Alligator mississippiensis: one gene and its partner. The protein of the gene in region 1 purifies or fractionates together with the protein of each later gene. This does not show direct contact. Links are inferred from orthologs where the notes say so. Each region holds a gene or a part of one and is shown on either strand. Other genes may lie near its edges.

Evidence for each region.
Region 2: the proteins of UPF3A (region 1) and UPF1 purify together in Homo sapiens (affinity purification with western blotting; 5 studies listed by BioGRID and IntAct, with this or other methods). This does not show direct contact. The link is inferred for Alligator mississippiensis from reciprocal best matches to the Homo sapiens genes UPF3A and UPF1.

The regions. Positions count from the first base shown.
Region 1 is NC_081824.1:350,627,817-350,642,908, forward strand, and holds the start of UPF3A (regulator of nonsense transcripts 3A), read right to left. Parts: upstream 8,917-15,092; 5' UTR 8,880-8,916; coding exon 8,631-8,879; intron 4,180-8,630; coding exon 4,073-4,179; intron 1-4,072. UniProt on the Homo sapiens protein: Involved in nonsense-mediated decay (NMD) of mRNAs containing premature stop codons by associating with the nuclear exon junction complex (EJC) and serving as link between the EJC core and NMD machinery.
Region 2 is NC_081839.1:1,279,110-1,294,669, forward strand, and holds the start of UPF1 (regulator of nonsense transcripts 1), read left to right. Parts: upstream 1-8,382; 5' UTR 8,383-8,603; coding exon 8,604-8,828; intron 8,829-14,944; coding exon 14,945-15,087; intron 15,088-15,560. UniProt on the Homo sapiens protein: RNA-dependent helicase required for nonsense-mediated decay (NMD) of aberrant mRNAs containing premature stop codons and modulates the expression level of normal mRNAs.

The DNA of each region.
Region 1 (15,092 bases):
GGATAGATCTTGCAGTCAATCAGTGGCGAGGGATAGCAGCCATCTTGTTGTACTAGCAGTCCTCCTCACCCCTTCCACTCTCAGCAGGTTGCGTGGCCCAGCCACAGTGGCCATGAGGACTGTTGGCTCTCTAGAGGGAGCCAGCATTTTATTTTCAGCAGGGGTTTTGGGGGGGGTTTTGGTTTTGTTTTGTTTTTTTAGGGAGACCACCTAAAGCACAGAGCACACCTGAAATCGCAGCTTCCACAAAAATTGTGATTTTGGAAAGTCCCTACTTATTAAAGACAGCTGTTCTTAATCAAATCCACATTTTTTTTTTAAATAGCAGAGTTTATGTGCAACAAAATAGTGCAAACTGAAACACGATTAAAACTGAAGGAACCATGAAAGTACAAAGTTAACAGATTTGTGCAGATACTAGGTTTAAGTGTGTAGATGGCATTGTAGCTCTATCTTGTCTGAATGGGACACCACAGGCACTTCCAATATTCTATGGTGGGAACAGGGAAAGAGAGTTCTTTGTCTCCTTTGTCCTCAACAGACTACAAGATATCATTAAGATGAGACATATAAGCACAGTGCAACAATTTTTTGAGCAAACAAAAATTAGTCCCAAATCAGTCCACACATACAATGTTACTGCGCAGTAAGGCACAATGTTACTGTGCAATAACTAATTGGGCGTAAATTAGCAACATAAATCAAGCTAGAGTATGTCACCATATTTACTGCGCAGTACGTGCATGCACATGTAGATGTATGCCCGTACTGCACAGTAATTTTGGTCACTACACAGTAAATGCACATGTGTAGATGTGCCCAGCAAGTAGAATAAGACCTGAGGAAGTTCACATTTTGGTCCATAGGCACAGGATTAATTTTTCTTTTTTTTTTTTTTTGTATAAAAAAAATATACTTTTACTCCCAAAATTTTCCAATTTTGGTATTCTTATGGACGCAGCGTGGGAGCTGGAAAAATAGCCAAGCCAATGAAAGGTTAAAGGCACTGAATAGAAGCAGATATGTCTGCCTCTGTTGCGATAATATCTGCTAATCATAACTGTTGACAGTATATTGACAGTACCTGGCAGAAAGTCTTCTAACAGATACTAATGAGACAGACTGCTGTAATATAGCACTTCATACTTACAAATGTTGTCCCATCTGCTGCATAGTCACTATATGTCTCCAGATGGGTCTTGTGGATAATTTCCAACTGAATCACCAGCTAGGGTCAAAGAGTGCTCAAGGGATCTTAGTTGTCCATGTGTATGTCTTCCTGTGTGGGAGTTCATAACTGACTTTGTGGATTCTGAAGACTCACCATAGGCTGTTGCCGTATTTTCCAATATACACTTGGATATATGCGATAGCTTTTAGAGCAAAAACCTGGTCCAGCTCCTTGTAGGCTGTACAGGTACTGGAAGGTCTTGATTTTGTAGTACTGTTTTTGTAAATCCATTACAGCTCCTTGATTGTACTGTGACTACTGCTACTGCATTTGGTCTGCCTGTTGCTTGTAGATCTTTGCATTTTAGTGACCACAGGAAGTTGAGATTGAATTCACTCCTTTCCCAAAATTGCAAGGAAGTCCAGGACCTCCTGACAAATCCACGCAGAAGCATTAAACATAATGACTACATGGCACTTGGGGTGTCTGAACTTGGCATTAGCTGAAATCACAAAGAGATGTGCTTGGGAGCGTGACATTACTCAAAATGCAGGGCACAGGGTGGAATATCAAGTCAACAGAAACCTTAAGCAGCAGAGAGAAAAGGTAACTAGGAAAGCCAAAGCAGATGTGATGCAATGCAGTGTGGGATAGCAGCTGAAGGACTGTTTCATAATTATTCTGAAATGGGGGTGCATACGTAGAAATGTTACAGGGGTATAACTCATTCTAAATTATAATTTTGTCATGTGCCAGGAAAAATAATTATAATAGCATACAATGCAAGACAAAGCAATAATAAATAAATAAATTATGTGTATATGGACATAAGGTAGTTCCTTCTAAAACAGCCAAAGTTAGACCAAAAATCTTTTCCACACAGACAATGCTCTAGTTTCTATGAAGACAGCAAGGAACTGGAATACATATCACCAGTGAAAAAAGTGCCTTCCAGACCATTATTTTATCAAAAGATTAATAAGAGCCACTAAATAAATCTGAAACACCAGACTTTAGAGTCTCTTTTGTCTAGTCTCTAAAATGTTAGTCAGTTTTCAACTTCTCAAAATACAGTAACCAAATAAAAATAAAGCCGTGTTTTCAGATTTTAAGACTTACTCTATAAAGCAGATAATTTTTTAAAGTGCTTTAAGCATGCCCTCATCTTTTTTTCCAGTTATCCAGAATTATCTACTTCTTAAGCAAAAGTGGAATACTGACAGCAACACCAGCAAGTCAGTGTGTTGTAAGCATTCAGCTGGGAAAATAATTCACAGCAAATAATTCACTCAATCTTTTCAGGCTCTCTCTTTACATATGCAATATCCTTCAGAATAATACATTTTTCATACATATTGTTAAAAATTCCTTGACAATCTCTCCTCACCAAAGGTTTTGTTTGTACTCCAAATGTGAGCTGTGCTGGTTATGTAAGCAATATGGCAGTGTTTCTTTTGTACATATTTTCTTACTCCTTACATAGGAGAGGACAAAGATTAACACAGCATGTGATGGAGTTTGCAAAACACTCAGGGTCCTTGCGGAGACAATTAGATAAGGCATAGAAGGAGATGACTGGAGCCTTGTCAGTTAAGGCTGTGAGACAATTCCTAGTTTGCGTGAACGTAAGAGAGAATTAAAAGGTAAATATATGACCTATTCTCAATTGCCTAAATGTTCAAGGAATTATCAAGCTACACAAACCCTGGAACATTCCCTGGCATTTCACCAAATACTATGTATTGAACACAGAGAGTCTTTTTAAGAGATGTTTTAGTGGGTTTTTTTGCAGCACAAGTTGAACAGAAACCTAAAAGGCTTTCCTAAATCATGGTGACTAGATTCTCAAGAAAGACATAAGGAAACTAAGATCCTGCTGAAGTACAACATACAGATGCTAACACATGCTCAAAAAACCCATCCTAGCACTGCAGGTGCCTAAACTCACTCTCTGCCTAATTTTTCACTGGTAACGTATTGCTGGTACCAAAGCTTCTGATGTTATGCATATGACAAGCCAAATTTGGCTGTTGGCAACTTTTCCCCCCCATCTCCTTGAATGTGCTTGGTGATTATATTTCTGAAAGGTTCAAGCTTTAGGAGTCACAGGCTCTAATAAACCATTCCAGAATTGTGACCAGAGGTACATACATGGGTTGGCTAGAGAGATAATTCAGCATATAGTTAAGCATACATATCCCTATGATACATACTTTGTGACTTCAACATCCAAACAGATGTGTCCCATTGCAATATGACAATGTTAAAAGTGTTTCAGTTACTTTAATTGTTCTATTTCCTCCCTTTCTGAAACTTCTTTTGTTAGAAAGTTTTCTTAACTTGGTTGATACCGCCCACTACAAATAGTTAGTAAACTTCCTTTGTTTCATTATTCTTAAATTGCCGATGAAATAATTACAAAATATACTGAAAGAAATAAAAGCTCTACCCTTGACTGACCAGTTGTGTATCTTTAACGTTTGCTTTTTAAAATATTCATGAGAATAAAACTAGATTTTTGAAAGTCTATAAAAAGCTAATGTAAATGTGGAAGCAATTAAGGAGTTCATTTAAATTCAAATGAACATTTGGCCAGCTCTGCTCTTTTCAGCATTAGGAAGGCATAATATAAATTGAGGAAAAGCTCTCTTCTACTTCACCAGTGAAAACTGGAACAGAACTTGAGTATTTTCAGCAACAAGATGATAATTTTCTGTTTTAAAGTTCCCTGCATAAAAAAAAGCAAAATCTAGGTAACCAACAAAACAAAAAGATAGAGGTTCTGGGGACAAAATATGCAATTTTGTATGCAGCTATGCCCAAGGTACCTTAGACAGGTTGCTTGCAAAAGCACAGAAATACCTCTTTTCTTCTTAATACTAAGAAACAGCTTCTCCTCACCTGGGATCAGCAGTGCAAAATTCAAAATAATCATGGGCAGGTAGAGGATGCAGCTGCTCCTCCAGCTGCTCTTTAGTTAGGCAAGGAGGAAGCCGGCGAATAACTACCTGCAAAGTACCAAAGAGAAAAGAAAAGTAACATTAGCACTAATCTAGAGATAAAATTATTGCAAAAATAGTAAACAAATTAAATAGTAGTTTTCCAAAAACTCTCTCTAGAATTTAAACTTTCATTTGGTATGCATTTGCTTGCACCAGCAGGCAAGTGGAGTGGACAACCTACAGCTAATTTCTGTTTCTGTCACATAAAGGAGAGGAATTGACAGCTATCACATATAGTGTGATTCTAGGAGAGAGGAAATATCTTACAACAAAGAGCTTAAGAGCCAGGATACTTCAGTCAAAAATAAACGACATTAACGAATTACATAAAGCCAAATTTATTGCTAGGAAAACATACCTAATAATGGATCTGGCAGCAAGTCTTAAGTGGAGTTTCACTGTGGTCTGTTTTTGGGCTAAGGCTGCTTAACATTTCTATTCATGGTATGGATACAAGGACAGAGAATATGGTGATCAGCAGGGATCCTGGTTTTCTCCAACAAAAAAAATCCCCAATTTTCAGATTAAAAAAGTAACCCAAACTCCACATTTTTCCATTATTCAAATGAAACACCACTATATGCAGGTCTATATATTAGTGATGTTTCATTTTAATCATGGACAAATGTGGATTTTGGGTTATTTTTTTAATATGAAAATTGGGGATTTTTTTTTTTTTAATTCAAGTAAACCAGGATCCCTGGTGGTCAGACCTGTAGATGCCACTAAGGTGGGTGAGCATGTCAAAACTTTAGGGGACAGGACTGAAATCCAAAGTTGTCTTTATAAATTGGAGGACTGGATCATAGTCACCAAGATTACATTTAACAAAGACAAATATAAAGTGCTACAAACAAAGAAATAAAAAGAAATGCACAAACATGAAATGGGACATGATGGGTTTGGCTCTAACATAGCTAAGGAAGAGAGGGGTGCTTACAGTGGATGACAAACTCAGTATCAGTCAACAATGCAATGCTGTTGCAAAAAAAATGCAAATGTGTGTTGCATGTTTGCAGGGGTGTATTCTCATTTCTCTCTTCTTCTTATGCTCTTGTTTTCTGCATGGCCTTTCACAGCAACTGATGAAGTGAGCTTCAGGCCACAGAGCTTGTGCTCTCTCATACATGTATACATATAGACTATATAATACATATATGTATATAAAGGGGCATGTGTGCCCCACTCCTGGACCCAAGAGGCGCATCCGGACAAGCATGCACATGCCTCTTGCCCTGTCTCAAACCCTTTTGAGATGGGGCAAAAGGCACATGCGGGAATGAAAAAATGTTCCCCGCACTGCCAACTTGCAGCGCAGAGAGAAAATTAGACCCCTGGATATCCAGGGGTCTAAAAAAATCCAAAGTTTAAAAAAGCGGGGCAACCGGAGGCTGGGTCCTCCACAGAGACGTTCTGGCTGCCAGAGCACCTCTATGGTTGGCCCCTTTCCCTGGTGCTAAACACGCGGCCTGCCAGACAGCGCAGCACCAGTGCTCCAGTGCCATAAGTAAGGGGTCAGGGTAGGGCTGGAGGAGGGGGGAGGGGACTATGGGGGACACCCCCTCCTGCCCCCCCCCCACTCCCCCAGCCCACCCAATTCCTGCTCTGCCTGGCTTGACCCTCCGCTCGCCCCAAGCCCCATCGACCCCTGTTCTATATGGCCCCGCCCCCCCCACTCTGCCTGACCCCCCACCCCCTGCCCTCCAAGCCCCTCTGACCCCTGCTCTGCCCGGCCCCAGCCCTGCCTCCCCACCCCAGCATCCCCATACCAAAAAAAACGCTAGCACTTACCGGCAGTTCAGCTGCCGTCAGGGTCACTGGGGCCCCGCCTGCACAGCATGGGGCAGAGGGACAGCCCCAGTGGCCCGAGCCTGGGCCCTCCCACCCCCTGCTGCCCTCTGCTTCCTGGGGGGGGTTCTGCCAGGAGGCCCCAGAGACCCCCCCAGCCCCTGCTTCTAGGGTAAATAGAGGCTTTTTTTCTTGGGTTTTTTTTTCCTTGTGTTTTGTTTTGTCTTTTTAAGTGACAGTGCCTGGGGTTGGGGGGCAGCCATGGGGGCCTACCTAGGGGTGCAAGTGGGGGATGGGGCCTGGCACGGAAGTCATTGGGGGATTTGGGGGAACGGGGGTGGGGCTGGGTGGGGCAGCCATGGGCGGGGGGGTTGCAGCAGCTGGAGTAGGATGGGGCCAGGTGGGGCAACAATAAGGGGCTAGGGTGGGGCACGTGAGCCTTGTGGCCTTGTGGTAGCCCCTGCGGTGGCCATTTGGCCCCTGTTGGGGGGCCATAGCCCTTGTGTGGGGGGCAGCCAAATATATATTCATGTTTCATGAATTCATGAAACGTATTTAGAGTTCACTTTATTATTATGATAAAGACACTGGTAGGCTTCCACATTGCTTTAACACAGTAGATATAACAATAAAACATTGCCCAATTGATTGCTGTCTCTGTCTCACTCTTTCTCTCTTTATAGTGGTCTTTTGTTTTAATTGTGGAGGAACATGGATTTGGGGGTATTTTACAGAGTGACTTTGGAATTTTTTTTTTTTTTTTTAAATCAGGGATTTTTTCACTTTTCCAATAGGGAACACCAGAATTCCTGCCAGGGAGGCCAGTGGCAGGACCCTGCCTGCTCAGAGCTGGCACTTTGGACCCAGCTGGCTGGGCTGACCTGGCAAGCTGGGGCCAGGAGGACATGCTTTAACAGTTCAAAGCAGACCACCACACCCGAAACATCTTTCAGGCAATAGCTGCCCAGATGGACGGGCAGAGGCCCACCTGGCAGTAGTGCCGCAGAGGCCAACTCTGCAGCCACAGTCCACAGCTGGCACAGAGGACAGATGCCTCTACTGGCTGTGCAATCCCCATCTGGGTCTGGCAGGTGCGCAGCACGTCACAACCAGGCAGCAGCCCCCACTGCCAGAGTGCCTCAGTGGGTAAAGGGTGCAGGGAACTCTCAGAGCAGCTTCAGCAGTCCAGCTGGCACAAGAGGTAGTGTCCCCAGGTACTAACTGGCTGGGCCCCAGATGCTCCTGAGAGTGAGTAGCCCCGAGCTACTTACCAGGGCAGTTTTTTGTATTGCTGGGGCCAGGACAGGTGCTGGCCCAGGGCTCTAGCTCCCCCTGGCTGCAGGTCTGGGAGGAACCAGGCAGGGTTACTTTGCCCCAAGTGGCACAATTTGCTCCTCAAAGTGCATGTCCAAAGTGCGCCGAGGCAAAAAGCCCCGGCTCAAATTTGTACCATTTCTATTTAAGCTGCTGCAAGCGCACGTACTTGCATGTGTGGACGTGTCCATGGGGAGCACATCCACTCCACATCCGGACTGACTCTACCGCCCTGAAAAGGTTAGCACCACACAGGGATGGCACTGTGGGGGTGGCTATAGCTGCCCTAAAATTTGCCTTAGTCCCCCCAGTAGCCATCTCTGCCAGCACTGCCCCTGTCCAAACCCCCTGCCTCCCTCAGAGATGCTGCCGCCTGCCCTACTCCTGCCTGCAGAGGCGCAGCACTCCCAGCCTGGCCTGATCTGTCTACATACAGTATATATTTTTATTCTCCTTTTGTGGATAACATAGATAAAACACATATTTAAGCGGGAATTGTTAAAAAAACCAAATACATTTGTTTGGCCAGAAGATGTGTACCTCAACCCCCCCCCCCCCCAATTTTTCTGTCTAGCCCACCTCAACCCCTATAGTGAGAAGAGACTTGGTGCCACCTCTGGCACCACACCACTGATGGCAGTCCAGCTTCAGGTGAGAGAGGACTTTGTCTAGTTTGGGGGCCCTTTAAGGAGGAGACAAAGAAGCTGGGCTGGGAGAGGAGCGCTGGCAGGGACAGGGCCTGGAGAACGGGCCCTGCCTGCCATGCCTGAAGCAACCAGCTTTAGTAGGGAGGGAGAAAAAAAGAAAAGAAAAGGGACCTGGTTGGGGGTGAATGCAGAATATCGGGTTCCAAGCGCCTGGCTGGCCACCCCCTTGCAGACACAGGGCCCAGAGCAAGGACAACACTTCCCAAGGGCTGGGCAAGGACCAGGCAGGGGGCACAGGGGAATCGCCCAGGGGACACCCTCACTAGGGTGGCCAAGGGTTGGGGGGATAGAAAGCTGTGACCTGCGAGCAGGGGGAGGGGGGAACAGAACGCTATGACGTGCGATCAGCAGAGCCAGGCAAGGAACAACGCTATGACGTGCGAACGGGGGAGGAGGAGGAGGGAATAGAACGCTATGACTTGCGAGCAGCAGGGCGAGGAAAGGAACAGAACGCTATGACGTGCTAACGGGGCGGGAGGAGAGACGTGCGAGCAGCAGGCCGTCTCCCTACCCAATCCCGGCGCTCTCAGTGGAGGTGGGGGGGGGAGGGGGAAGTTCCCCTGGCGCAGCCCCGCCTCCCGGCGCTGTCCCCGGTGCTGCTGCCCTGACCGCCCGACCCCGCCCCCAGCCCCGCGGCCCAGCGCTCACTTTGCTCAGCGCAGTTTTCTTCTCGTCCCGCGCTTTTCCCGGGCCCGGCGGCAGCGGCGGCCCCAGGGGGGAGGAGGAGGACGGCGGCGGCGGTTGGGGCGGGGTCTCGGGCTCTCGGCGCGGCGATTCCCGACGGAGCGGAGGCTCCATGAGTCGCTTGTCCCGCCCTCCACCTCCACCGCTACCGCTACCGCTGCCGCCGCCACGCATAGGCCCCAGCCCCGGCGCAGCCTCCCGCTCCGACTTCATCAGACTACTGCTGCAACTGTTCAGCCGCGGAAAGGGGAAGGGGCGGGGGTGAGGGGAGGAAGAAAATATCGCGAGAACGGGTTCTGTTGTCAAGAAGTCTCACGAGATCTCAGCGAGGTGCTGGGGGTCGCTCCCTCAGAATCCCGTCCCCACCCGAGCGCCGGCCGCGCCCCCGCTCCTTGTCCGTACCTGGAGCCCCGTGTGAGGTGCGTCTCACGCCTCACTCCCGCGTCCCGTGCGGGGTCAACTAATGTAACCAAAAATCCGCTCGTATGTTATAGTGGTGCTTCACTTTAATCATGGAAAATGGATTGGGGGTTACTTTTTTTAAGTCTGAAAATTGGGGATTTTTTTTTAACCAGAGAAAACCAGGATCCCTGTTCACCACCCTCTTCGGGAGAGTATTTTTCTGCTGTCCAACCTCAGCCTCCCTTGCTGCAACTTGAGGCCGCTGCTCCTTCTCTCATCTGCCACCACTGAGAACAGTCCAGCTCCTCCTCTCTGTGACCAGCTTTGAGGGAGCTGAAGGCTGCTCTCAAATCCCTCGTCTCCTCTTCTCCAGAATAAATAAGCCCCTTCCCTCAGTCTCTCCTCAGAAGTCCTGCCCCCCTCCCATCCCCCATCCACTGGACTCTCCAATTTGCCCACAACCTTTGCCGAGGGCAAACTTGGGCACATTACTCCAGATGTGGCCTCACCAATGCTGAATAGAGGGAAAAAAAATCACTTTCCTCCATCTGCTGGCAACACACCTACCAATGCAGCCCAGTATGCTGTCAGTCTTCTGGGTGAGGGACACACTGCCCCCTCTTTCCATAGTAGGGGGAGGGACTAACTGATGCACTGTGGACATAAGGCCCTGACCCCCAATACGCATCAAATAAGCCAATTCCTGGCTTTGGCACAAGCAGCAGAGAGAACATCAAAGCGGCTGTATCTAGAGCAGGGTTTCTCAACTTTTTAAGTAGCAAGAGAGAGATTCTTTACATCTTCCAAACTTGTGCATTATCCCAGAAAAACAGAGATCATCTTAAACACAAATTTGTACTATCCAGGAGCTGGTTACTGAGCTGGAGGGGTCCTTGATACGGCAGGGGGAACCTTTACCACCATTAACACATTTGATTGAAGGAGTGCAGGACATACCTTAGAGACTAACTTTAGCTTTCATAAGCAAATGCCTACTTCATCAGATGCTATGATGAAGTATAGCACCTACAAAAGCATGTCTCTCTGAACAAGTTAGCTTGCCCTGCTTTCTGCCTTACTTCAGACTAACACCATTAACTACCAGTCTCTAGTTATGATTTGGGTAGTGCAGAAAACAAGATCTCCTAGTGCCATGAAGATGCTGCATCAGACACAATGGTACTATGGGAGATGCAATGTTAATGTCACCCTATTCAGAAATGAGAACACTGGTAGCTGTGAGACTATATTGTGGGTACTGGGTAATGCATGTAACTGCAAACGAGCTGGTTGTAAGGGAATTCTTCCCAAGCCATTTTTTTCAGGGGCCAAATTAGTGTCTTTCTGTCTTTTTAGTGCCAGAACCTAGCAAGCTCAGTCTAAAATTATGCCCCTTGCAAAGCTAGTGTCTTTTTTCACAAAGTGAAAGCATGTTTGAAGAGGACTACTCTGAGGTTGCAGTCTCTGCCCCTCCAAAGTCTGAAGAGGGATAACAGACCTCTCCTGCAAAGATGACTAATAAAAATCTCTCACACCTCTGTATTTTCCTTGGAGAACTACAAGCAAACAGCTCCTCTCTCAAGGACACAATCCCTATAATCAACATCTGGTATGCCCATAATTGAGGACACACCATCTGCAAGGGCAAGCAATAGAACATTTTTAGATTTTGGAGACTTCTTGTCTGCCATAAGGGCTAAACCTTGCACACAGCAAGTTTCTCAGATTTTTAAAAATAAAATGCTATGAAAAAGTACTTGTCTGTCTTACATCACAGGAACATGTTTTATAGTGAGTGTGAAGCTCACTCACAAAAGTCTGACTCAAAGACAAAAGTTGATGCGAGGGCCTGTCAAAAATGACCTCAGATCCAGAGTTATAAAGACATTCAGGATAAAGATGTGGCTCAAAAAAAATCCAAGTTCAAATGCAGGGAGCTAACAAGCCACATGAGACATGGACATGTGAAGAACTTATCGACAGTTCTAGGTTCAAAGTGCTCTATCTTCTCAACATCCTAGGAAACAGAAGATTGGTACTTTTAATCCTAGCAAATAAAAGCTGTGAAACATCTGTTACAAACAGCATTCTGTTAATGTCTGTATCTTATTTCTGTTGCAGTGAAGGGAGAAAAAGGAAAAGCCACTAGATAAAACCTGAAGTCTAAGCTTTACTGGCTGTGAAGCTGTGTTCAGACATTAGATAACAGAATATTAGAGAAGTGGCTTAATACTGAAATCAGCTAACTAGCAAGTCAATTAACTTCAGTCAAGTTCTTCAGCTTACATTTACAACCAAGACAGCCATCTTACAATTTGTATAAAGCAGCAAATTGGCAACCTAGTCTATGGACCAGATTCGCCATGGAACCACTGGGTCCAACACAGAGATGCGGGACTTTGGCTAGTGTGATTTGGGGTACTCGTCCCATGGCATGGTGGGGATGAGCAGACACTCTCCCCGTGCCAGTTCACAGACAAGTGGGTGTGACCACTGGGTCCTAACAAATGCCTGCCTGCCTCTGACTCAGGGTGAGTTATTCTGGCTCAGTTGGAAAAGAAGTGCCTACCTCTCATATAAGGAGTTTTCATTAATATGATTACTAAATTAATCTGCTCATTTGACTCCAATTCTACAGTGCATCTCATGATTGATTTGTTGGTTTTGACTTGGTCATTGTAACACATTGCATAGCTTGATATTAATACTAAACAAGTTAGATGTGGGGACAGCTACTAGAACATCCCATTCCCAGCTGGATTAGCAGCGTAGTCCTGGCAGCAGAGACAGCTAGTTTCCTCACAGACAGCACGTAAACTATGTAGGACTGTTAGGGAGAAGCTGTTCAGGGAACAAGCCAAGTGCAGAATAGCTGCTAGCACTTGGGAAACCTTTTAGTCAACCAGCATGGATCAGCATCTTTCTACAGTAGGCCAGCCATCAGCATCTGACTATAATTTCTGTTTGGGAGTAGCCACTTTAAGTTTACTTAGAAGTTCCTCTGGATTATAGGGCAATTGTTTTTTCTTTTAAATACTCTCTCTCATCTGGGGCAGGGCAGGGGGTTCACCCAATTCTGGTCTGAAGACGACTAAATACCTTAACCCAGTTCAGTTTCAGAATGGCTTTTACCTTCCTGGAACCACAGGACTACCATGCAACTGTTTGACCTTTCTGTTTGACCTGTCCTGATACCAAGAAATAAGAAAGGTTCTACACAATTCAACTACCATTTGGTTCCTTAACAGTGCCAAGAGCAATTACTAAGAACCAGGTTCAAATAAGATTGTAGGAGCATAAATGTGAAAAACTTCTACTCAGATCAAAACAGTAAAATAAACAAAATCAACACACATAGAGAATTGGTAGGTAAACTTTCATGTGAAGTGAGTCTATTGGACAAAGGAATTCAGGAAGTGGCAGTATTAAAGGGCACAAGTAGAAACCAACTCAATGAAAAGAGAAAAGGAAATGTAGTAAGACACCAATTGAGCTAAATTGGGAGCTCTTAAATGACCTATCAAGGAGGAATCACAGAAAAGTTGCTACTATTCCACCATGTTTCCATTATTCCTATAACATCTGGTTTTACATCCTACATAATGAGTTACTGTTCATTTTTATTTCTCATTCTGAACTTTCCCCAGCTTCCCCCTCACTTCAAGTTCCTTGATTAAAGCCATTCCTCAGTCAGGTCAACCTTGATCCCAAGTGAAGCTGATCCCTAGAGAAAAAGTTCCCTATCCACAATTACTAGCCAGTGATCAAACATCCAAAACTCTTCCCAGGAGCACCAATCTTCTGAGTCATCTATTAATTGTCATAATCTTCTCCTACCTTCTCTTGGGACAGGAAGAATCCCACTGAAAAAAATCATTTGAACTTCTAGAAGTTTAAACAGCTTCCCTACACTACTGTAGTTGTCCTTTACACCTGTCAGTAATTGTCATGTCATTTATGACTCACCTGAAGGCCAATTAATGTCTGCTCCCATGAAAATCCTCTTCAGTCTTAGGTCTATCCCATATCTTTGCTTCCAATATATAGCATTCCTTTCTGTTTTACAGGTTGTACCTTATAAGTGGTCTGATTATTATTAATCAGTGAATCACTGATTACATAGAAATGCCTTTTCCTGGTATTTGTATCCCTGATACTTTTCCTTTTTATCCTTTTATGTATCCAATTACCACATTCTGTCTTTTTTATCTTCCTTGGTCCTTCCTCTATCCTTCTTGGGCTAAGATGATTCATTATCTCCATTCTCCCCACCCCTCTTTGAACGAGCTTCTTCTCTTTTCTTCCACGCCATCCCATCTTCTTTGTTTACCAACAAACTAAACCTCAATTCTATTTCACCTCCACCAGCTGGTTCCTTCCTTTGCCTTATTTTTAGTCACACGATCTCAAGGGCTCCCCTGTTCTGAAGATCCAATCATCTTTTTAGATAGGCATCAGGTCTTTCGTTTGTATATGGAACTTCATTTCTCCTTTCTTGCATTACCCGCTCAAATCCTATCTGACCTCCATCTCTGCCTTGCCGCAGTTCCAGTCCTTTGACCACCTCTGTCAAGCAACACTTCATGCAGATATAGCTGGCATCAGAAACCTATTCAAGGATGATAAATGTCTCTACAGCTGTCACTTCCTATCATTCTCATTTCCGGTCTCATATCTGGTAACTCTTCCAGCTGCAATTGCCATCTGCTGCCCCTTACATTAAAAAAAAAAAAAAAAAATCTTGTGCAAAAGAAAAAATGAACAACACCAAATTCCCTTTTCCCATATCCTCTCAAAACTCCCAGGGGACCCAGATGCCAGTGAGAAAAAAACAAAGACCTCTAAAACCCTGCCCAACAAAACCGTCTAGCATACACTTAAAACTACACCATCTCCTACACAAACAGATCACATAAAATACAAGTACCACCTGAGACCCACCACTACACACAAATGTAGTGATTATTGCTGAAGAGGGGCTGCTTCTTCTACAAAGTGCTCCTTTTCAAAGTCCCTTATGACCTATTAGACCTATGACCTAATGAACTTTTAGTCATACAAATCACCTTCCTATTTGAAGAAAAATTTTGTGAAGTATATTTGATGGTTCCTGAGCTCTGAAAGACTGGAGTAATGTTAAGATTATATACTTCATCTGTTTCGTTCTTAGCTGTCCTCACATTAAACACAAAACTCAGTTAACATGATGATGAGGGAACCGATTGTTTAACTTAGACTTAAGCAGTTATGGATAGGGAAGAAGAGAGAAGTTTTATATAAAATGTGTAATATTCTTTTTAAGCAGAAGCATAGAAGGCCTTGCTAAGTTTATTGAATGATTTATGGTTTAGTCAGCATCTCAGTTCATGAAAGACAAACTTTGCTTCACTATTTTCAATGAACAAGTAGCATATTCAAAAGTAAAATACCACAGGTTTAGAGACTTCATAAAAACTGTACACACACTTCCCTTTTTCTTTTACACTCACTTATTTTGTCAAGGTAGAGAATTTCTACAGCCCTACAGCAGTACTGTGTGGCTTGCATTGTGTTTATTGTCAAACTAACTTTTAAAAATAGTTCCAAGGGCATCACTGATTTCAGAAAATTGTAAATCAGATGCAACTCAAAATTTCTTTGCTATTCCAAATATGTGCAATTCACATTTCCCACCTAATCAGTTCTGCTTAAATTGTCTAGTAATATAGCATAGAAATATGAGTATGATTTTAATGAACAAAAGTGATTAAACAGGACAACACACATTCACTACCATGCTTTAAAAGCTTTGACATTAATTTAATATATACCAAATTCGATTGAATTGATAAAAAAGGCTCTCCCTGAATGTAAGCAGGGGTTAAACAAAATAATGAAGATTGTTGCAATAATTCCTGTCTTAAAAGACTAAAATATATTAGCATCAAAACTCTAGTTATTTTTCAACAATTAATGGTATGTTCCTCACAGATGAGAGAAACCTTTGCAGCCACAACAACACTACAACAGGTCTCAGCTACTCAA
Region 2 (15,560 bases), on another chromosome or scaffold:
TCTGTAGTCCACATACCTATTAGAGACTACAATGCAGGGTGGTCCCACAGGAAGGAATGGAACAAAACATGGACAACTCACTGCTCCCTGACCCAACTCTGCAGCAGACACTCCAATAGAAAAAAAAAGCTGAGGACAAATTGCAGGGAATGAAGGTTTGGGAAAAAATCCACCTTAGCTATTACTGATTATGATCAGAAATTTAAGTTAGGATCCCAGAAGAACCTTCCAAACAAAAAGAAAATAGATGTTGCTATGTACCTCCATAAAGCTGCTCTCTTGGTTTACTTCTGAGGCTGCATTGACCGTCCTTTTATGTCCCTCTTGCGGTGGTGGAGCAGTAGTGCAGTATCTGCTTTAGAATAATGAGTTTACTTCAAAAACAACAAAAATATACTGCTTCATTGCTACTGGGTTGTTTTTAAGTTATTCTCTCAAAGGTCCTTTGATATTGGATTTTTCTGACATAGGAACATAATTTTTTTAGTTACAAATACTCCTGGTTCTTCCATTTCAGCCAGGCTGCAAGACACATTTCAAAAGATGCTCCCTGGAAAGGGTGGTGTTTATTTTAGACAAAATAATAAAGTAATAAAGAAAAAAAACTTTAAAAATAAAATGCATTTCATTAACAAGAATGACAGAGAAAGAGAAAGAGCTACTGGAACACAGAAACAAGAAAAAGGACAGAAAAGAGAAAAGACAAACTGGTTAAATATTCATAACTAAGTAGATGTCATATAGAGCTGTAATTCTGTAACTGATTACAAGATTCTACCATTTGTTGTACAGATTTCATAGGTACCACAGGTGCAGCTTGTGTGTACATACACTTATGCATAAAGAGAGTTTATAAAGAAAGATGAGGGATAACTTGTAACATCATAACAGACCCTAGCTGGAAAACCACCCACACGCAAAAAAAAAAATAACAAAAATCCGTGTAGGCCCGGGGGTGGAGAATGAGTAGAATCAAAGAAATCTGGGGGAAGGGGGAGAGAGAGAGAGAGAGAGAGATTAGTGAGAAGAAAAGCCTTTCCAGGCCTTTGATGCTAAAATGAATTTCTCATCTTTCACCAATGCTCGTGTCAGAAATGCAAGTCTTTACAAATTTGAACCAGGGAGGAGGATTCAGAACCTTTTGCTGTTTAGAAACAGTGTGAGACAGGTTATTTCTCTTTTGCAAAAAAAAAAAAAAAAAAATTACCTTATTGGCATGCACTGCACAGTTTTTGTGACACAAATGTATTCCACAGTATACGTGCATCTGAACAATTAGTGTTTTGATGAAGTGATGGGGGTGGAAAAGCCGAACCGTTGCTAATAATTAGAACAGACAATGGTACCTTCTGTAGCAAATTACCATCCCTCACCTCTCCCTCCCCTGAACCACTTCAGTTGATGTTGGATGTGTCCATGACAGCGTGGTGTTGCTAAGAGAGGTTGCTAAGCACTATCACACACATAAATATGGATATCTAGTCTTTTGGATGGGTCTGACTTCAAAAGGGAAACTAGAGAGCTACAAGCCAACAACGTCATTTATTTATTTACCTGACTTTCCTTTGCTTTTTTAAGTTGTGGATAAAGGAAGACCGGAGGGTGCTGCTCAGACAGTATTAGAAACCCTAATTTATATACATCCCTAAATTACCTGCAGTTGCACAGCATTTTGTATCAATAATTTATCATTAGAACAGGGAATTACTACAATAGATACAAAGGTCAAAAAGGTCTAAAAACTGATGATTTGCATGCTCTGGGCCAGTCTGAAATCCAAAGTCCTTCTGCAGTGGCAAAATGGATATGTCGGAAAAGGCAATACCCTCTTATTTTCCCCTGCAGCATCCCTTGCCCTGTGAACTGCCAGTCACAAATGAACATCAGGTAACACAGACGTGTGCCCTCCATTTTATGCCTGTGATTCCCTAACTCCAGACTGTTCACTTCCAAGATAAAATCATTTGGGTTTTTTGGTTCATAGTCATTAGCAGTTTGTGGAGTATTTTCGGAGCCACTTTTATTGGCTCTGAGCGCTTTGCATCATGGTGACACGTCCTGACACTGTCTCCAGAGCTTGGAGTTTTCCAAGACCAATCAGCTCTTTCCTTTTCATAACAGCTTGTTTTTCTCTCCTCTCATTACAGTTTTGAATGGGGGATGTTATCAAATCCCAGTGCTAAAGTGCCTTGGGAGTAAAATGTATTTCAAGGAAAGTCATGTAGCAAGGCTAGCAATTCTGAGAGGAATGAGTTGCCTTCACTAATAAATATAATTTACACAACTACAAATTACAGATGGCCTTTCCACCACCTTTTTGGTAAGCATGACAGTCAGAACCATAAACAAACAAAACCATCTTGCTCGCAGAAGCATTTGTTGGCATGTGGAAAACAACCCTTGTAAAAGAAAACCACCTGGGTCTGTTTTCCTGCACTGTTCCAGCCTGCTGAGCATTTACTGCAAAGTTAGGTTCCAAAACCGCACAAGAAATGGTGAAGAACCACCACGTCTGCAGAGGCACTGTTCCTAATTACCCAGAACTTCACTTTGTTTCAGTTCCTTTTGGGTACAGAGCAATGCAGACCCAAGAGTCAGTGAGTGGCCATCAATCCTATAGGTGCCCTGGATTAAAAGACACATGCACTGTTAGTTGTTCAAAGTATGGATCAGAGGACAAATGCAGCTTAGGAAGGCACACAGTGCAGGTTCCAGACGCACTCATCTGCAAGAAGGCAGTGCAGTCCGTAAAGGGCAAAGATGAAACGTAGTATGATTGAAACAAAAATCCTCAAGTGCCTTACCCCTGAAATCATAACCTAGCATGTTCACTGGGCACACTTAGAAACAGGTAATAAGAGCAATTGTAGCCTCCTTTTTTAAAATAAAAATTAGGTGAGGGCACCGTGCTGTTGGTTAATTAGCAATTTGATATAGTGGCCCCTGCCTGAAGATATCATAGTGAACAGGCAATACCCATAGACTGGCTCCGTGTGGTTTTCTGTCTAGTACTTGGAAAAGGGAGAGACTGAACAGCCCTTGAAGGGGTGGGGGGACTGCTGAACTTCATCTGTAGCCCTCCTGTTTCAGCACCTCAGACAGCAGCCTAGTCTTGTCAGAGGACACCGCCAATGCTGGTGCTCCCATTTCAGAAGCTGAGCCAGCTGTAAAATTCACCAGAGGACCTCTTTCAGGGTTTCCTTACCCCTTCAGAATGATTTCTGTTCAAATCTTGGTTCAGCTTCCATTTTATGTAGCGCACAGAGGAGGGAGGGTGGAATTGAGGCATCTCTCAGCTACTCGCCAAACCTTTTGATCTTTTCCCAAAACTTCTAACAATGCTGTACGACAATCAAAATTTGGAAGGGCATTCTTAGTGGTAATAAGCAAAGAAGCCATACCAAGCAGCCCACTTGCCTTGATAACTTCCCTCTGCAAAACCACTTTGAAGCTGAAGTGGGATTTAGTATTCTCTTGTAACTGTGCTTGTCTCAGCTTTGGGAACAAATGGTTTGGGCAGCATTCTCTCGACACAGACATTTGCTTCATATCACCTATTTTGCAAAAATCTAGTTGGTCAAGTAAAAGATATCACCTCTACCATGAGTTCTAATTCCTTTTGCCTCTAGACCAATACAGCTACAGCCTGGGTACCCTTCATATCACCCATGCATTTCAAGCCAGAATTGTGAAGGTCGTTTCTATTAAGCTTCCCTCTAATATAAATATCTCATTTTAGGGAACTACAAAATGCTGCTCAGTGAGACTATCCTGCAATGCTGCTGGAGACAGTTTATGTACAAGTACTTTGACTCTTCTGTTGACTACAACTCACTACTTCTAGATAACAAGACTAAGCATGACCACAGTTGCACTGACCTTATCCCAGAGATATGGAAACTAACAGTTCATGTCATTTACATTTTTTCTGATTCAAAATTCACAGCTCTCCAAAATTATGAAGAGGTCTGTGAGAAATGGATGATTTTGCAGTCTGCAAATGACAATACAAAATCCTCCAAAACCTTTGGATTACCAGGTGAATCTGTTCCAGACTTACAATGTGCAAAACTACTCAACCTGATGGCTGACCAATGGCCTAAATGAAAAGAGTTGTTGGTCCTGAGCTCCGAGAGGCCCAGTCTCTAGGCCATGAAGCCACCCCACAATTATCCCCTTTCTTGGCAAATCTCAGAAGTCGAGGCTAGAAGGGACAATGGAAACTGAACTAACCTTTCAGATGTAAAGGGGCTTTCTTCAGAAAGCAGCTGAGGTGCATTCCAAGGAGAGAGCATGGAAGAAGCCTGCACTTGCAACTGCCCATGTTCTGCATGTTGTGGATACATGGTGTTTCATTCTTTTACTGCTCTTGGACTCATGCCTTTCACCAGAATAAAATCCTTAAAAACAAAAAAACCCAACAACACAAGGTCAACGTGGTGGGAAAGTTCCTTATGATAAGCCTAGAGTTGGCTCCACAGAGAGCAGGACTTTTGTTCACAGCTCTAAACTGGCTGAGACACATTTTCATAGATCAGTTTTACCTACCTGCTCAGATGTCACCGACTTGCACCATCCTTGGGCCCACATATGTATGCAGTCTTCCACAAACCTGTCTTCAGTGAAGATGCTTCAAAGTTTATGACTGAGCTTTCATGTTTCATTCTTGCTAACATCATCCAGAGCTTCGTGACTGAGATGGTTATAAGATAGGAGGACTCTGAGGACCCAGATAATTATCCTCCTACTATTACTGATACACAGATCAAGATTGATTTGTTCCTTGCTTTTGCAGAATAGGGAAACTGTAAATTTTAGAGAAGCGGTGTAAGGCTCAGGGCCGGGGAGTCTCCTTCCCAAGAACTCTTTCATGACAGCCAACAAAACAGAAAGTACCGTGACACTGGACCCAATGATCTCATTTTATAAGGTTTTTTTCCATGGGACACTAAAAATAATGAGAATATTAAGACAAAAGAAGATACCTTTGAGGATAACTGAAAATAACTCTTCACTTGATTTTCTATTTATCACACAAACACTTGCAGATTAATTCAGGTGGGCTGTAACTACTGTTGAGCTGTGGAAGCTCTGTGGAATGACTTAGACTTGTGCCCTGGCACAGGATAGCGGCAGGGGCTGTGATCACAGTCAGCTTTCCATTCTTGCCCTTAATGGTTCACTTCACTAACCTACTTTAGTGTTCCGGCTCTGTTTCCACGAGTGGGGATTCCCTTGGATAACTGGCAGATTTAAGAACTCCTTATTAATCCTCCCCTTCATTAAAGAAGTCAGTGACAAGACTGTATAAAGGGGTATTAAGGGATATATAATTCATAAGCAAGTTTTCTCCAATTTAAGGTTCCAGGTTTAGCCGATTCCTCTCATGGCTCACTGGTAAATAGGCCCCAAGTTGCCCTTAGATGCTAAATAATATCACTTGATAAAACTGGATTAAGGGGCAGTTCTTTTATCATCAACCAGATAGATTTGTCTATTCAAGGAACATTTACATATTTATATGTGGATCACAGTCCTGGAAAGCTAGTTAGGAAGACCAAGAACTGCCCATAGTGGAGGGCAAGGTGCTAGCTACTAGGTCACAACTGTAAATGTGGACAATTTTACATTAGGCCTAGAGCATACTCCGCTTCTTCAAGGGCACTCAGAACTAAAGGTGAAATCAAACAATGTGTATATAGAAATATTAGCCCTCTCAGCTTCTCTACTTTTTTTTTTCTACATATGATTGGTATAGGATAGTCCAACGAGGAGGAAGCTTCAGAAAATAGAAGGTGCAATTTTCCATTCTACATCAATGCTTCTAGTGGACCGTTGCATGCCTGCGCGTCTGTTCCTGGGATTCATTCTACAGGGAAAACAGGGACAAAATAAAGGCTATGTGTTGAAGGAAATATATACCCATCTTCAGTAGCTGTGAAATCACTTTTTTTTTTTTTTTTGGGGGGGGGGGGGGAGAATGACCATCTCCAGCTTTCCATTTCATTTTGCCACAACCAACTTGAAGAAGTTAGTTTAGAACAGCTCTGAATTTTGAACTAGTAAAAGGCAATGGGATGAAAACACCCAAAACCAAAGTCCTCCGTGTCTTCACAGAATTCCCATGCATCTTCTCAAATGTCCCTCAGCTTGGACCTGGCAGGACCATTTCTGAAGATGAGCAGAGAGCTCAATTTCTACAGCATATCCAGTTACAGACCCTCTTGTGCAACTGTTTGCCAAATGTGCAAATAGCACAGTAAACAGTAACAAAACTTGATCATTCTCAATCACAGCCAAATTTCCAATTAGTACTTGATACTCCTCAATCCCCATATGTCTCAAAATGATTTACAATGATTAATTAATCTTTACATTTTAGTGTGAAATGGGTATTTTTATTTCTAATTTACAGATAAGAAACTGAGGGAGGAAAAGAGGAAATTAACCCAGGAGTTGTACTTCCCAAACTCCTGGTTAACCACTACACCACACTCTCCTAGTGATGTGGGAACAGATTCAGGGAGCCCTCAATCCCAGTGTCCTGCTCTAGCCATTTGGACCCCACGTCAAGTGGGCAAGGTGGCTTTTGACATGTAACCTGGACACGGGGATGTGATCAGTCTATTGCAAACAAGGGCAGGTAGGCAGCCAATGCACGGATACAGCATTCATCCACTCTGGATACAAAGTCTTGATAAGAAAGGGAAGGTGGAAAATCTTGCACCCCTGCAGCAGTGAGTCTCAACCAGGGTACAATGGCACCCTGGGGTGCTCCGAGATCCTTTCAAGGGTGCCACACAATGCTAGTACTGTTAGGTGTGCAAACACGACTCTCATGATAAACCCAGACAATCCAAATAGGAGTCCATAGCGCTAAAAACACTCTCACCTGTTGCCATCTTCTGGAGTTCTTTGCAACGGAAAAATTGCAGTCAAAAAAGGAGCGAGAACTAAGCTAGCATTATCCGAGGGCGGCTTTGAGTCTAACGGGGGTGGGTTGAGTCTAAAAAGGTTAAGAACCCTGTCCTAAAGGAAACAGGTACAGAGATTTCTTCTCTAGCGACAGCCTGATAACCACAAACCACTGAAAAATAAGGCTGGAAGAGCTCTCAAGGGCCACCTGGCGCCGTTTGGGATCGTCTGGGCCTGTCTGCACCATCCCCGGCGAACGCTCACCAACCGGCACTGGAGGTCTCACAGCCGCGCTCGGGGCTCTCGGACACACCTCAGTCGGACGCTGCTCTCATGCCCCGGGTGCAACCCACTCGCCCTGTCCCGTCCCGTCCCGTCCCGTCCCCTGCGACGCTCGCATGGCTGTGCCCCGTCTCCTCTGATGCAGGTTAACTCCCAGGACCCCCCGCCTGTCCCCACAGGGCCGGGGCTCACACCTCTGCGCAGTGCTACTGCCACGGGAGCCCCGCCTGCCCGCCCCACCCCTGCAGGGACACAGCCCTCGCTGGGGGGCACCGGAAGACCCCCCCCCCCAGTCACTGAGGGGCAATAACAGACCCCCTCCCTCCCTTCACCTCACTGAGGGGGCAATAACAGACCCCCCCAATCACTGAGGGGGCAATAACACCCCCCCCAAGTTACTGACGGGGCAATAACAGACCCCCTCCCTCCCTTCACCCCACTGAGGGGGCAATAACAGACCCCCCAGTCACTGAGGGGGCAATAACAGACCCCCTCCCTCCCTTCACCCCACTGAGGGGGCAATAACAGACCCCCCCAGTCACTGAGGGGGCAATAACAGACCCCCCTCCCTCCCTTCACCCCACTGAGGGGGCAATAACAGACCCCCTCCCTCCTTTCATGTCACTGAGGGGGCAATAACAGACCCCCAGTCACTGAGGGGGCAATAACAGACCCCCTCCCTCCCTTCACCCCACTGAGGGGGCAATAACAGACCCCCCCAGTCACTGAGGGGGCAATAACAGACCCCCCTCCCTCCCTTCACCCCACTGAGGGGGCAATAACAGACCCCCCCAGTCACTGAGGGAGCAATAACAGACCCCCTCCCTCCCTTCACCCCACTGAGGGGGCAATAACAGACCCCCTCCCTCCTTTCATGTCACTGAGGGGGCAATAACAGACCCCCCCAGTCACTGAGGGAGCAATAACAGACCCCCTCCCTCCCTTCACCCCACTGAGGGGGCAATAACAGACCCCCTCCCTCCTTTCATGTCACTGAGGGGGCAATAACAGACCCCCTCCCTCCCTTCACCTCACTGAGGGGCAATGACAAACGGCGCTTCTCCCCCCTCCCCTCAGCGAGCCTTAGACCCCGCCCTCCCCCCGCAGGTGTGCGTGCTACGTCACGGGCGCGGCGTACGTGGCGCGCCGCGTCGGCGCTGGCGTGCGTGTGTCGTCACGGCGGGGCCTGGCGCGCGGCGGCCGCACGGTTGGGCTCGGGCGCGCGGCGGCCGTTGGCTCCTTGTCGCGGGGCTCGCGCGCGGCCTGTTCCTGTTCCCGTTCCCGCCGCCTCCGCCTCCCTCCGCCTCCGCCTCCCGGGGCCCAAGCGCGGCGTGCGGTGCTGTGCGGTGCGGTGCGGTGCGGTGCGGTGCGGTGCGGGCCCCGGCCCGGCCCGGCCGGCCGCCGCCATGAGCGTGGAGGCGTACGGCCCCAGCTCGCAGACGCTCACCTTCCTGGACACGGAGGAGGCCGAGCTGCTCGGCGCCGACACGCAGGGCTCCGAGTTCGAGTTCACCGACTTCACCCTCCCCAGCCAGACGCAGACGCCGCCCGGGCCGGGGCAGCCGGGGCCGGGGCAGGGCCCGGGCGCGGCCGGCGTGGGGCAGGGCCCGCCGGGGCCCATCGAGGCGCAGGTGAGCCGGGGGATCCCTCTCCCCAAGCACGTGGCGGCGGGCGGCGGGGAAGTGCAGCCGTGGGGCTGGGGCCGGCCCAGCGCCGGCGGGCGAGCGGGCGAGAAGTGTCACCAAACGCACGACTCGGCACCCCCAAAGCGCCGACCCCAGAAGCCGGGGCAGCAGCTCGCGTGTCAGCCTGGGCCGGTTCCTTGGGCAGACGCAGAAACTATTGTGGCAAGAACTACACCGCGCCGCAGCTTCGTTCCTTCAAAGACAATATAAACCAAGCGTCCGTCTTCCACGGAGCGGGAAACGGCTCCGGACCGCGTTCCCCCGCTCTCTTATTAAACCAGCGAAATAGCTGGGGGGGGAAAGGTCTTTGCGAGCGTGCGGGCGCAGCCCCCTTCGTCCGGCGTAGGGAGTCTGCGCGGCGCGCGATCGTCTTCGAGGAGCGGAAGAGGCTAAAAGCGTCCGTGAGAGCGCGTACATAGGTAGGAATTAGGGAAAGAAAAGGTAAAGGGACAGGTGGGGAAGGAGTCAAAGGTGAGTAAGGGAGACTTTAGGGCCCAACGTCAGTCGGGAACGTGAGTGATGTTCTTCCCCGGGGCGCGGCGGGTCTGCTGCTACCTGGGGCTTCGGCCTGGGCTGGGGAAGGAAGAGGAGGGAGGATTTGAGTTGGGGTCGGACCACCGCAGAAGGAAATATAATCGTTGAGGATCGCAGCTGCCTCGGCGGCGCGGCTCGGACGCTTGGAAAATTGCATTAGAAAGAAAAACGGCGGTTTCATACGTCGGGGCCGCAGCGTCTTATCCAGGCCGCCCATCCCCGTGTGCGTGTGGGGTCCTGCTGCCCTGCAGCGAGCTGTTTGCAAACCGTGGGGACATTGAAATGCAAGTTTTAAAAGTGAATCGCAATGCTGGTAAAGCCCAGAATCGGCTCTAGCAGGTGAAGTACGTTTCATTTTGGGTTGCGTTCTTGCTCGGACTGTGCTCCTGCTGCCAATGCATCAAAGGCAGAAGTGGGAGTGCAGGTCCCTGCGTTGGTTTTAGCTGCAGTTGTTGGTGTCGGTAGCAGAAACCCAGGCCCCTGAACTCGGGTCTTGACAGGGATTTCTCAGTTCACCTTTGTGTCTTTTTCTTGTGCGTTTATTTGGATGTCAAATCCGTGCATTCAAACCCGGGTGCCAGAAAAGCACGCACGGTGACAGGACGGCTTGTCTGGTAGGGCAAAAAATAAACTTTTTTTCCAAGCGGTACACAGGTTTGATCTCATCAAAACCCCGCGTGTGCCAGGCCTGCGAGTGTAACCGGGTTGTGTTGTCCTGTGTGTATAGACATAGTTTCATAGCATACGCGGGCACCGTGCTTGTACCGTGTATCGTCCTGTCATAAGTTTCTAGGAGCTGTCACGCCACTTCTACATTTTCTTTGGTGGTTTGCTCACATCTGGCGGCGCTGCCTCGTGATTTTCCTGGTTGAGTGCCGTACCAGTGTTAAAAGTCTCTGCCTCGGGATTAACACTAAAGGCATTTTCCTGTTTTGAAAGGAACACGTAAAGAAGATATTGAGGTAGCGAGGATCATCTACCCCCACTCAAGGGAAGATCTTATTTTGGAGTTTTATCAACAAGCTGCTGAATAGTTTTCAAAACTGGCAAAACAAGCATGAAGAAAAGCACTTTTTTTTTTTTACCAAGACTATATTTTTTCGCTGTTCTGTAGGCAGTATAAACCATAGTGTATCTCAGACCACGTTTGCTTTGTCTTTGCAGTTTCGGTACATATCTGTCCAGACTTGTGCATGTTAGCAGACCCAACTTGCGACCGTGTAGGAAATGGCACTTTCCCACATGAGGGCTTTCTTCCTGTGGCAGGCATTAAGCTGAGCACTTTGAAAGGCGTTGAAGTCGACTAGTGTCCCACTAGCAAGGGAATAAGGGGTCAGTGGTGCAAAAGTGATGGCCATACAGTTTCTTTCTTCACAGGTCAGCTGATGCGGCCCTTTTCTAAAGCCTGTATGTAAATCAGCCTTTCTGCACACACTGCTACACTCCTGATCTTCTAACTGCAGCTGTCTTACCTCTGTTTCTCACCACCTACTTCCTCTTCTCCCTTTCATGTTCTTCAGGGCCCTCTCCAGGCAGAGATTTAAAATAGCTGCTTTTGGCACATTAGCTGATATGCCCACTGACAAGTTTTTTAAAGTCTACTGTAGAGGAGGGACACGGCTCAACTCAACTGCTAATATGCTCAACTGGTTGAAAAACTGCTTGGCAGAGGCTAGCCGGATAGGGCTGTAGTCTGGAGTGTGGGAGACTCGGGTTTGGTTTCTTGCGCCTCCAGATCTCTTACGTGATCATGGGCATGTTACTCGGACTCTGTGCCTCACTTTTCCCGTCTGTAAAGCGGGGAACTCTGAAATGCACTGCCCCGTAAGACACTGAGGGTGGACAGGCATTTAGAAAAGCGCTTGTACTCTAAGGTAAGGTAACAGATGGAAAGGGTGCCGTGCTTCCTGTCTACGTGAGTCTTCTAAAAGCACACGGCCTGAAATGCTGACAGCACACCGTGCAGTCTAGCTGTATACGGCTCAGGTGTTCGTTGTGTAAGGTTTTGTACATCCTGCTGAAACTGTCTTTTATCATTGTCCTTCCTCTTCGCCCCTTCTTGTCTGTTTGGACTCGCTTGCTTTATCCCTGTAAACAGAGATTTTATGTTCTTTGTTTCTTGGAGGCCTAGCACATGCTTCTGGCTACTTAAAAAATCCCCAAATGCTGGTGCTGGGACAGCATACGACCCTGTCTTGCAGCTAAGTCAGGCAGCGCTGGAATGGGTATTATTCCCGGTAGTAATCACGGAGAAGTAGGGCTGGAAGAGGTCATCTAGTCCAACCCGGTAGAGTCAAGTCCCATAGTCTGAAGTGGACTCTTTTCCAGCAATGGGCCTGGGATTTTACCTATTGAGTTTTGCAGCTGTTTCCCTTTCCACAGCTTTAAACATGCTGTCTAACTCCTAAGCAGAAGGGCAGGAGGTGAATACGCTTTTGCCCGTGTATGCATCAGCTACCAGGGACTGCTAGCTACTGGCACAGGCAGTGCCTTTTTGAAGAAATTGAGAACAAAATTTCCATGTTATTCTTATCATTGATTTGGAAAATAACTTCTCCTCTCAGGAGAAACTTCTGTTTAGAGACTCTTTCAGGTACTTTCTCTCAGCAGAGAGAGCAGTGCCGTTCAGTAACTTTGTCCCCAGGGTTTTCTCTGGTGTTTCTTGTTGATTACTTTTGCTAAGGAACAGGTCAGCTACTTCTAGAGTGCCGGTTTCTCTTAACCTCCCTCCCACTTCTTAAACAGTTTATGAGGGGGTGGTTAAGTTCATTGTGCTGCAACTTGGCAGTCAGCACATTTTTAAGCCTAAGAGAAGCCCCCCTTTAATAGCTGGGTGACAGTGTCAAACTTTTAACAATATGTACAGAAGCTAAAATTGCAAGAAGGTTTTAAGACAACAGTTGAGTCACTTCCTCATTGCTAGTTTGCCAAGCCTTAAACGAGGCGATAGGTTTTTCCTAGCAACAGGTGACATCATTCATGCCCGAAGATGTGACAGGATGAAAGGTCCCGAGCACCTGCCTTGGGCGGAATGGAGCACGGCACAGTCTCTTCACTGCTGGCACACTTTTAATTTCACTTCGCTTCATTTCCCCCAAGCAACCTTTTAGTTTCACTGCCCTTTGAAATAATAATAGTAGAAACAGTTAAAAAGCCTCTATAATTAGTGGCACCAGTTATCCACACTTGTTTAAGTATTCAAACATTTTGATTAAATTCATCAGCTGACTTTTTAAATATATAATTACTTTTTGAAATAGGCCAGTTAGAGTCAAAGTGTCATTGGCACATGTCTGGTGTTTGTGCTTGTAAAAATTCAAATGAGTTTGAGGCGTGAATATTCTCTGCATGGTTCATGACCAGTTAAGCTACTTTTATATGAAATGCCATTTTGATGTTTATTTAAGGAACTACCTGTTATCTTGTGGCAGGTGGTGAGGCAGGGGACCTTCAGTCTAATCTGCTTTTGTATGCTGGTGCAGTTTCTCCGACTATTGGAAATGTTTCTTCCTCTCTGTTTTCTTAGCAATATTGATCCCTCACATTGCTGTATTCTTGTTCCTTAAACCTAGGTGTTGGCTATCATTTTACTAGCTACATTTGCAGAGCATTGCATTTATGCTAACAGTTCACACTCTTGGGTGGACTGGAGGCACATGGCCCTGCATCTTGTACTGCACCTGGGACACTTTTATGGTTGCAAGTTTCAAAAAGTGTTCTCGTTTGTACTTTGTAAATTAGTACTTACTTGTTTTCAGAATCAACTCTGGGAACTGGATGTTAACTATCATGCATACCAAAAACTAGTTTGCAGAGGTTTCCAGATGGGATATTCAGGGAAGTGGGTTTATGGTCTCCTAATTTTATGTAGCTTTTGAATTGCAACTTGGGATGGGGTGGTGGGAGTCTTAAGGCTGCTCCCCCAAGATAGCTAGTGTCCAAATGACAATTATCACTTAATATGGAACCTGGAAGGAGTGCGCCTTCTTACTACTTGGCCTTGGCTCAGATATTAATTACCGATATATTTCTTCAGAAAATCCTTGAGTTCAGTGATGGGGGCAACAAGTCTGACTAAAACCAGAAATAAGTTAAAGGGCCTTGGTCTCCTTTAATGCAAGGCTTTGCTTTCTTGCCTTTGGGCTGGTGGGAGTTGATGGAAAGCAGTATTTCATTGTTTGGGGGAAGTAAAGCAATTTAATTTTAAACTTACTGATATTTTATTCCCCCACCCCAAGGGTTACTAGCATGTAGTACTGATTCAGAACGTTACTTTAAGCCTATGCTAATCAGCGTGGTCAGGTTATCGTGTTTACTTTCCTGATGGTGAATTTAGGATTAAGCAGTATGCCTCTCAATATTATTCCTAATTGTTTCCTTGCTTTTTGAATGCTGTTGTTCATAACAGATTGAAGCTGGAGCCACCAGTTCCACGTGGCACTGTCTTCTGTACTAGTCTCACTTCACTCTGAGTTGTCTCAGATTATTTTCTTAATGACATTCATTCCTGGGATTCGAAGCAGGTAAACCCAAATCGTTCCAGATATGGGGGAAGACTGGAAATTCAGTGTCTTAACCATTATATGCTAGATGTGTCTGAAAGCTTGCCATTATCTTATGGGGCATTCTTGCCTTGTGCTGATCCCTAGCAGTTGGAGAACATAAAAGCCAAATATATTTGTATCATGAATAAGGCTTGGAGTACAAGCTCTGCTGACACAGCAGCAGCAAGCGTTGCAAGGTTTCCTACTTGGGTGGGTAGTGCTCTGTTAGTGCCAGGATAAAGCAATATTTCCGTTGCATGCTTGGTGTGTATGGGCTTTATTGCTCTGCACCTTTGACATATTGTTATTCAGAAACTTGGCTGATGAAATATCTGTTAACGTTGTATCTAGTGGTACTTGTTTTCTTGACTCTTTCAACTATTTGGGTTGGTCTAATAAAAGATATCAAATTCACCCAAGGAACCTTGTCTGTCATAGTGATAATAGCACTTATTAGGTGTTGGGTTTTTTTTTTCCAATTGAAAGACTTATGAAATAGCTAGAACATGCTTAAAATATTTGAATTTCATTAATTTTCATTCTGACCTAATATGGAATACAGTTTTGTGGTGCAGGGTGTTAAAGTTAGTTCTGCACTATATGTGCAGTATGCATTTTGGGTTGGAGAATTAGACATAGTTGGGGCAGACTGAACAATAATTTTTGCTTAGAAACTTGCTTCAGTGTATTTTTATGCACCTCTCATTTCTTCAGGATTTTTTGGTTCATTTACTCATTTGCCCTTCCTGTGCTGTGATTGTGATGACCCCTTTGTGACTAAGCAAAGGGGAAAGGACAGAAGTGTTCCTTTAGTTACCAATATATGCTCCTATTATCCGTACTTGACATTTTTATCTCCCTCCTTCCTAACTGTCTTCAAATTATCACGAGGCTTTGTGAAGGGATGGAAGGTACTGGCCTCCCAGTTTTCTAGCATGGGATACAGTTTGATTTTTAAGTTTAACGACCCACTTTCCGTTTTAGGTTAATGGACCTGATGGCATCCTACAGAACGGTGCCGTGGATGATAATGTGGCTAAAACCAGCCAACTTCTGGCAGAGTTGAACTTTGAAGAAGATGAAGAAGACACCTATTATACCAAGGATCTTCCTGTGCATGCTTGCAGGTAGGCTGTGAAGGGGAGCTGCTTGGGCTTCAGCCTTCAAAATGAAAGTGGCACGTCTCTGGCACAGGCAGTGTCACTAATCCCAGGGAGGCATCGGAATCCATGCAGATACGCTGCAACGCATGGTTCTTGTCATCTTGGTTTGCCCAAACTTAACTGCGGGCCAAAAGAAATGAGCATCTCAGTAGCAGTGATATTTAGCCAGCTTTTAGGGACAAGTGTTAGCATGGCGTTCTGAACGCCTTGGAGGCAGCGCTGTAGATGTGTCCGACTGATGTCTTGAGTTCTGTTTAGTAAATACACAAACGCTCAATCGGCGCACAGACAGCACGTGTGTAGTTTAGCCTGAATACGAGCAGCTTTCCTCTGCTGCAGTGACATTGTGCCTTAACGTTGCATCGCTGGGAAGATAGTGCCCTCTGGTGAGCCTTAAATATGTAATGCATTGGCCCGCTCACTTTTCAGAATCGGGC